2 linked regions of the Ovis aries genome follow. The protein of the gene in region 1 purifies or fractionates together with the protein of each later gene. This does not show direct contact. Links are inferred from orthologs where the notes say so. Each region holds a gene or a part of one and is shown in the gene's direction. Other genes may lie near its edges.

The links. The genes of interacting proteins can lie anywhere in the genome.
Region 2: the proteins of PINK1 (region 1) and VIM purify together in Homo sapiens (affinity purification with mass spectrometry; 3 studies listed by BioGRID and IntAct, with this or other methods). This does not show direct contact. The link is inferred for Ovis aries from reciprocal best matches to the Homo sapiens genes PINK1 and VIM.

What each region holds. Positions count from the first base shown.
Region 1 is NC_056055.1:245,720,380-245,723,948, reverse strand, and holds part of PINK1 (serine/threonine-protein kinase PINK1, mitochondrial), read left to right. Parts: intron 1-1,229; coding exon 1,230-1,412; intron 1,413-1,927; coding exon 1,928-2,091; intron 2,092-3,569. UniProt on the Homo sapiens protein: Serine/threonine-protein kinase which acts as a sensor of mitochondrial damage and protects against mitochondrial dysfunction during cellular stress.
Region 2 is NC_056066.1:31,054,750-31,058,939, forward strand, and holds the start of VIM (vimentin), read left to right. Parts: upstream 1-1,376; 5' UTR 1,377-1,523; coding exon 1,524-2,086; intron 2,087-2,726; coding exon 2,727-2,787; intron 2,788-4,190. UniProt on the Homo sapiens protein: Vimentins are class-III intermediate filaments found in various non-epithelial cells, especially mesenchymal cells. Vimentin is attached to the nucleus, endoplasmic reticulum, and mitochondria, either laterally or terminally.

The sequences.
Region 1 (3,569 bases):
GCTTCCGCTCCATCCGCCTCTCTCTGCCACCGTGCTATCTCATTTCCTGCCCGCAGATATACTTCCGGCTTCCCTCAGGCCTCGTGGCATTGTTACCAAAAGCAAACTCCTGTGCCTGACATACAGTGAGGCCAAACGATACCAAAATGTCAGAGTTTGGAACAGAGAAAGGTTTATTGCAGGACCATGGAAGGCGACAGGTGGCTCATGGCCCCCAAACATCAAATTCCCCAAAGAGTTTCAGCAAAGCATTTTTAAAGAGCGCGTAAGGGAGGGGGGGGCCCCAGGGTATGTGATTGGCTCATGTACACATCCCTGGTAGTTGGTGAGGTGACAGGGCAGTGTCGCAGTGGTTAACAGCTTCAGTCCTCAGGCTCCGGGAGGTCTGCGGGCTACCTGCTTATGACCATCAGGTGGTTAGCATCTTCATTTGGTGGGGGTTTTTACATCTGTAAAACAGCTCAGGAGATGTGCATCAGGCACTGTTCAGAGAGGAGCTCAAGCGGCGTTAAAGCATCCTTTCAACACCTCGGCCCCCTTTCCTGTGCAGTTACTGCTGAATTTTTCCTCACACTCCACAGAGAGACTCTCCCTTTTTCCTGCCAACCACCGGGTCTCGGACATGACTGCAGGCCCTTGGTTGCCCTTGGGTCAGGTGCGCACAGCCCCGGGCATGGCGGCCGAGTGCAGCCTCTGTTTCTGAGCAGGGCAGTGGGGTGGGGCTCCCGGAGCAGCAGAGGCCTGGGCAGGGCACCTGACGCGCGGGGGAATCACTTCTACACACTGCCTCCGTGTCGGTTCACTCAGAGGCTGACTGAGCTCATGCCAGGTGTTATGCTAGGGCCGGATCAGGGAGATTCCGGGTCCTATTAACCGCCTTACAGGGTATGGTACTACTCTATTCCCCTTTTCATTTGAGACTGAGCCAAGAGACGTTGAGCAGTGTGGCCAGGGACTTGGAGTGGCAGGCGTGGGGTTCAGCCCCCGGCAGCCCGCTTCCAGGCCCCATGCTCTACCTCGTGGGATGGATGGACGGTGGATGGATGGTGGGGTCACCAATGTGATGAGTCATCGCGGGTTTCCCTTCCAGCACCCAACTCTGCACCTGGCACACACTTGGTGTAGATATGGGTGGAGATGAATGTCAGTGTTGATTGTGGCCTCAGACTATTGTATCCCAAGTGTCGTATCTGCTGCTCCCTCACGTTTGTCCCACCCGGCTGAAACAGAAGACCCAAGGGAGGTCCCAAGCAGCTGGCCCCGCATCCCAACATCATCCGGGTCTTGCGAGCCTTCACCTCGTCGGTGCCGCTGCTGCCAGGAGCCCTGGTCGACTACCCAGATGTGCTGCCCCCCTGTCTTCACCCCGCAGGCCTGGGCCACGGGCGGACTCTCTTCCTTGTCATGAAGAAGTGAGTGGCGGGACCCGGAGTGAGTGGGAGCTGGTCGCTGCCTCCAGGAGCCTGGGGTCACGGGCGAGAGGACCCTCTCTCTTTGGGAGACAAGGGCAGGCTGAGGGCATATGTCTGCCCTGGAGCGCAGTTTCCCTTTGGGACAGCCTTCCAGGAAAACAGAAGGGCATGCTCAGTCAGGACATACTCCCCATCTAGTGCCCTTAGTACCTTAGTAGCCCCCTCTGTGCTCACCTTTCTCCTGCCTTTTTTTTTTAAACATAGACTCTTCTCCTTTCCTCCATCTCTGTGCCCCTGGCATTGCTGTGTGAGTGTTTTAAGAAAACAAGTAGCTGTCCTGTAACTTCTAACGTGTGAGGCCCTAGCTCTTACTTCCTAATTCCAGGATGGTGGATAGAAACAGAATGGCTACTTAGGGAGAAAAGGAATCAGAAGAAAGGCCATCATCCTAACAGGAAGTAAGGTGCTCGGGATGCTAGGTGCGCGGTAACTGGCCCTGTTGCGCTCTCCACCAGCTACCCCTGTACCCTGCGCCAGTACCTTCGCGGGAACACCCCAAGCCCCCGGCTGGCCACTGTGATGACTCTGCAGCTCTTGGAAGCAGTGGATCACCTGGTCCAGCAGGGCGTCGCGCACAGAGACCTGAAGTCCGACAACATCCTTGTGGAACTGGACGCAGGTAGCTGCCCCGCCCTGCTCTGAGTTGTTCGGGGCCGTCTGGACTTCAGGTTTGAGGACATTTAGGGGCCTTCGGGTCTTTTCTGGTTTTTATGTTCTAAGTTGTGTCTTAGCTCTGCACACAGAGATAAGCACTCTCTCCTTCAAGATGGAGGGCTTTGGTCTTTGTATTGTAAGAATATTTTCAGCAAGTACTGCTTGAATGTCAGCCCAGCTGCCTTTGGCAGTGAGCTCCCCATCATTGGAAGCATTCAAGTAAAGCTGGGTGGCTACTTGCCTAGGGGTTCTGTAAAGGAGAGTCATTGTTTTGTTCTTGTTGTTTAGTCACTAACTCGTGTCTGACTCTTTGCAACCCCTTGGACTGTAGCCCACCAGGCTCCTCTGTCCATAGGATTTCCCAGGCAAGAATACTGGAGTGGGTTGCCTTTCCCTTCTTCAGGGGATCTTCTTGACCCAGGGATCAAACTTCTGTCCCTTGCAATACAGGAGGATTCTCATGTGGTCAATTTTGAACTAAAAAGATTTAAGATAATTCAATATGCAATTAAATTCTAGAGGAACTGGCTTTTAAAGGAAGTCTGCATGAATCCTTTTCTGGATAACTAATTGATAATGCACCGATTTTATCCAGTTCTTGGCTAGGGGACCTTGACTTCCCGGAGGCATGTCCGTGTCTGTGTTGTTGGTCCCACTCAGCTCTCTGGTGAGTGGGCAGCTGTCCAGGCCTTGCTGGCCTGTGTTCCTGGGTCAGCCTGTCCTGAGAGTGGCTTTTGTTGCTGCTCAGTCGCTCAGTCGTGTCCGACTCTGTGACCCCATGGACTGCAGCACACCAGGCCTCCCTGTCCATCACCAACGCCAGGAGCTTACTCAGACTCCATCCAGTCGGTGATGCCATCCCACCATCTCATCCTCTGTCATCCCCTTCTCCTCCCACCTTCAATCTTTCCCAGCATCAGGGTCTTTTCTAAGGAGTCAGTTCTTCGCATCAGGTGGCCAAAGTATTGGAGCTTCAGCATCAGTCCTTCCAGTGAATATTCAGGATTGATTTCCTTTAAGATTGACTGGCTGGATCTCCTTGCAGTCCAAGGGACTCTAACGAGTCCTCTCCAACACCACAGTTCAAAAGCATCAATTCTTCGGTGTTCAGCCTTCTTTATGGTCCAACTCTCACATTCATACGACTACTGGAAAAACCATAGCTTTGACTATATGGACATTTGTTGGCAAAGTAATATCTCTGCTTTTTAATATCCTCTCTGGGTTTGTCATAGCTGTTCTTCCAAGAAGCAAGCGTCTTTTAATTGCATAGCTGCAGTCACCATCTGCAGTGATTTTGAAGCCCAAGAAAATAAAGCCTGTCACGGTTTCCATTGTTTCCCCTCTGTTTGCATGAAGTGATGGAACCAGATGCCATGATCTTAGTTCTGAATGTTGAGTTTTAAGGTAGCTTTTTCACTCTCTTCCTTCATCAAAAGGCTC
Region 2 (4,190 bases), on another chromosome or scaffold:
GTCCCTGCAAACATTCTATCATCTGAGGCTAACTAGCTGCCTTTCTAACTAATCATTTAATCAACTAACTGCCTTTCATTCACCAAATTAAACATTTAAAGTATCACCTAATTCATTCTTATAATTAGCGCAGGTTTATACCTTGAATGACTTCCGCAACAGCAGAAAAACCAGAGATCAATTTGATTGTGCAGCTGCGGACGCAGAGCTTCCTCCTTCACCCCAAACTTCCAGATCCTGTTAAAAGTCGGGTGTGGTTTTATGGGGGGAGGGGGAGGCCGAGAGGGGACCAGGGAGAAGAGTGAGGGGGAACTTGGCAAGAACCTCCCCGGAGTGCATTTGTGATGCCCCAGACCCGCGTTCGGCGCTTATAGAATGTGTGCAGAAGTTTCTTACTACAGAGAAGCCTGCATATCGGAGCAAAATCTGGCTTTGTCGGGTTCTTAAGAACTCAGGCGCGCGCTAGTCTTCACGCAGGCGAACTGCCCACGAGAAAGCTGAGGCCCAGCTCGAAGTTGTGTTAAACTTCGACAAACTGTGCGCGCAGGCCCGGGGAGGCTGGAGTCAATCTCGTCTAACGGTTTCCCTGTACCGCTAGGAGCCTTCGGCGGGACAGCCGGGTGCAGTGACTCAGTGCCAGTGACTCAGCGACCCCACCCTTCTCCCCCAGGCTTTCCTCGGCCGCCGCCTCGAAGCGCGCACCGTCCAAAGGGGACCCAGTCCGTTAGGTCCCTGAACAGGAATTCCCAAGACAAGAGGACGAAGAGAGACGGGGTCCGCATCAGATCCTCTTTCGAAGCGGGCTGTGCACACACTCCTGCGCGGGGCCCAAGCCCTGCGTCCAGAGCTGTGCGCGCCCCCACCTCGCGCTCTAATCTCAGGCCCTCTTTGTTTCTTTCTCCACGCCTCCAGTTCTGCGGGATCCTGCACTCCCCCTCCTCCTGCTTCTTGGCCCGCGGGGCTCCGCATCCTCTCTCTCCCAGTAAAGCGCAACCCAGCTGCGGCGCGCCCCTCCCACCCGCGCGCCTCCTCCTACAGCTCTTTGGCGCGGAGCCCGGGACCCCTCTGGTCCAGTCCTGGCGGGTTCCCCCTGCACCACTGCGCGACCCCTCCTTTATCAGCACCCAGAGGTGAGCAGAGCTCGGGCCACCATCAGGAAAGCCCCTGAAAGTCCCAGCCCAGCTAAGAAGTAACGGGGCTGTGCTCAGTCCCCGTTGGGGAAGATGGGGGAGGAGGACGGCTCCGGGGCGCCCCCGCCCCAACCCCCCGCCCAGCCTTCCCCATTGGCTGGCGCACTCCGTCGCCGGGATGGCAGTGGGAGGGAACCCTCTTACCTAACGCGGTTATAAAAACTGCGCCCCGCGCGGGGTCCGGTCCTCTGCCACTCTCGCTCCGGGCTCCCCGCGCCAGAGACGCAGCACCGCTCCCTCTGCCCACACCCACCGCGCCCTCGCGCTCGCCTCTTCTCCCGGAGCCAGTCCGTGCTACCGCAGTCGCCCAGTCCACCGCCACCCTCTGCAGCCATGTCCACCAGGTCCGTGTCCTCGTCCTCCTACCGCAGGATGTTCGGCGGCCCAGGCACCGCGAGCCGGCCGAGCTCCACCCGGAGCTACGTGACCACGTCCACCCGCACCTACAGCCTGGGCAGTGCGCTGCGCCCCTCCACCAGCCGCACCCTCTACACCTCGTCCCCGGGTGGCGTGTACGCCACGCGCTCCTCGGCTGTGCGCCTGCGGAGCGGCGTGCCCGGCGTGCGGCTGCTGCAGGACTCGGTGGACTTCTCGTTGGCCGACGCCATCAACACCGAGTTCAAGAACACCCGCACCAACGAGAAGGTGGAGCTGCAGGAGCTCAATGACCGCTTCGCCAACTACATCGACAAGGTGCGCTTCCTGGAGCAGCAGAACAAGATCCTGCTGGCTGAGCTCGAGCAGCTCAAGGGACAGGGCAAGTCGCGCCTGGGGGACCTCTACGAGGAGGAGATGCGAGAGCTGCGCCGGCAGGTGGACCAGCTCACCAACGACAAGGCCCGCGTCGAGGTGGAGCGCGACAACCTGGCCGAAGACATCATGAGGCTCCGGGAGAAGTAAGGCGGCGCCCACGCGGGGCTGAGGGAGGGATGAAGTGGATACCGGAGCTGCCACGCCCTTGGGGATGTGGCCCGGGCGGCGGCTGCCGGGGGTGGGGGTGGGGGACAGCGGGGGAGCAGGGTTGTGGCTTAAGCGGTGCGGGCCCCGCCCTGAACCAGAATCTTCCAAGTTAGCATTTTCCCTCTACCCCGACTCATTGCCCAAGAACGCACGTTTCAAGTTGCAGACTTTTAAAAACTACCACTGTGTACTCTGCTGCTGCTGCTGCTGCTAAGGCCCTAGAAAAGGATGAACGCGATTTCCCCAAACTTTGAGAAAGTTTCCTGTCCCCCTCTGGCTGGCTGCCAGCCAACGGGCCGTGGAGAGAGCGAGACAAAGGGATTGTAGAGTCTCCGCGGTGAGGTGGTGGCGGGCGTCTCGCAGGTCGGGGTGGCGACAGTGATTGCTTTTCCACGCAGAGGCCAAGGTCCCGCTTAAACTTGCCTAGGACAGCAGGTCTAAGCCGCGGTCGCTAATTGAGCGCGGAGGTGGCGCAGCAACCCTTGGGTCTCTGCGCCACGACTGGGTGTTTGGGTGTGGTCGCCCCGCCCCTGGCGGTTTCCCGGTTCCCCTGTGGTTAATCTGAAACTGTTTCAGGTTGCAGGAGGAGATGCTTCAGAGAGAGGAAGCCGAGAGCACTCTGCAGTCTTTCAGACAGGTTGGTAGATTCCGTTCCTACTCGAAGCCACGGGACGCCACCCTCCCGCCCAACCCACGAGCAATTCTAAAAGTTTCTTAACCCAAGTCTGAATCATACAAAACTTCACGTCTGCGCGCCAAGCCCCCTAGTGGCAGAGAGACCGCAGTTCTGGATAAAAGCCCTTGAATGATTAAACCGTTCCGTAGGACATGGTCTTTAACATTTTTTAATTTGTTTCAAGATTCTTTTCCCAAGAAATCATTTTTTTTTCCGTTTCGTGTTTGCAACACGTTGATATTTTGATTTTGAAGAGTTACAGTTTGATTTAGGTTGCGGTTTTGCCAAAGTTGACTACCTTTTACAAGGCCACAAAAAGCACAATTCTGCCCTGTAGTTTTAGATGTGAAATGGATGGGAGGATAAGAAACTTAGTGGAGCCAGAAATTTTATTTTCTTGCCGGCAAGTTCTATTGTGGCCCCAAGGTTAGACAGAAGTATCGCTATGCACAACTAATTTGTGATCTAATAAGGATGAAAAGGAGCCATCTGTCCCCTTGGCTGAAAGGTATTAATGGTTTCTACGGACTTCACTATGGAATGTAGATACAGACATTCTGGCAAGTGTGGTGGCTCTGGTCAGAAAGAATAGGAGTCTTTGTGTTCCTGGAGACGCTTTGCAACAGGCTACATTCTTATTGAATATGTAATGATGCAAGCACTGTTCTAATTGGACACAAGTATTTGCTAACACCCCCGTTATCTAATATCTGGCCCAGACTGGAAGTATGTGATGTGAAAAGTTCTTAAAGCTGCAGTCCTACCTCACATTTGGAAAGGCCTTCCTTTTTTGAATCCTTGTATTCTTTAGCATTTTCTCCATAAAGAATAAAGCTAAAAATGAAGGATAGGATTTTAAGAAAAATGGTTTTCTTGCTCCAAAGATAGATGGCCTTTAAGGATTTTTAACTTAAAGTTGGATCCCAAAGAAGATTAGTTGCCAGCAGTTTTATTCTCCTGAACCCTCACTGGGACTGGCTCTAAAAGCTCCCTCAAGCAAATAGTCTAGAATACTTTTTGAAGCAGAAATGTATTTATCAAGTTAAACACAGAAATGTGTGGTTTATTTCAGTCATTGAGCATTTCTGATCATCATGTCTGTAATGTTTTCTTCCCCGGTAGTAACTTCATATAAAATAATATTAGTATAAATTGTTCCTCCTATTTAGGGATTAGATAAAACCACTCATATTCTCTTCAAAGAAGTATAATAACACATAGAACTTTTGAAAATTGAGAATAGGATATTATCTTTTGCAATGATTAACAACAAGCAAAAATGATTCTTTTTCCCAAGACTGATCATTTTATTATCACCCCTTTCTCATTTACTTTTCCATGAAGGTGATAGAAACAGGTCTACA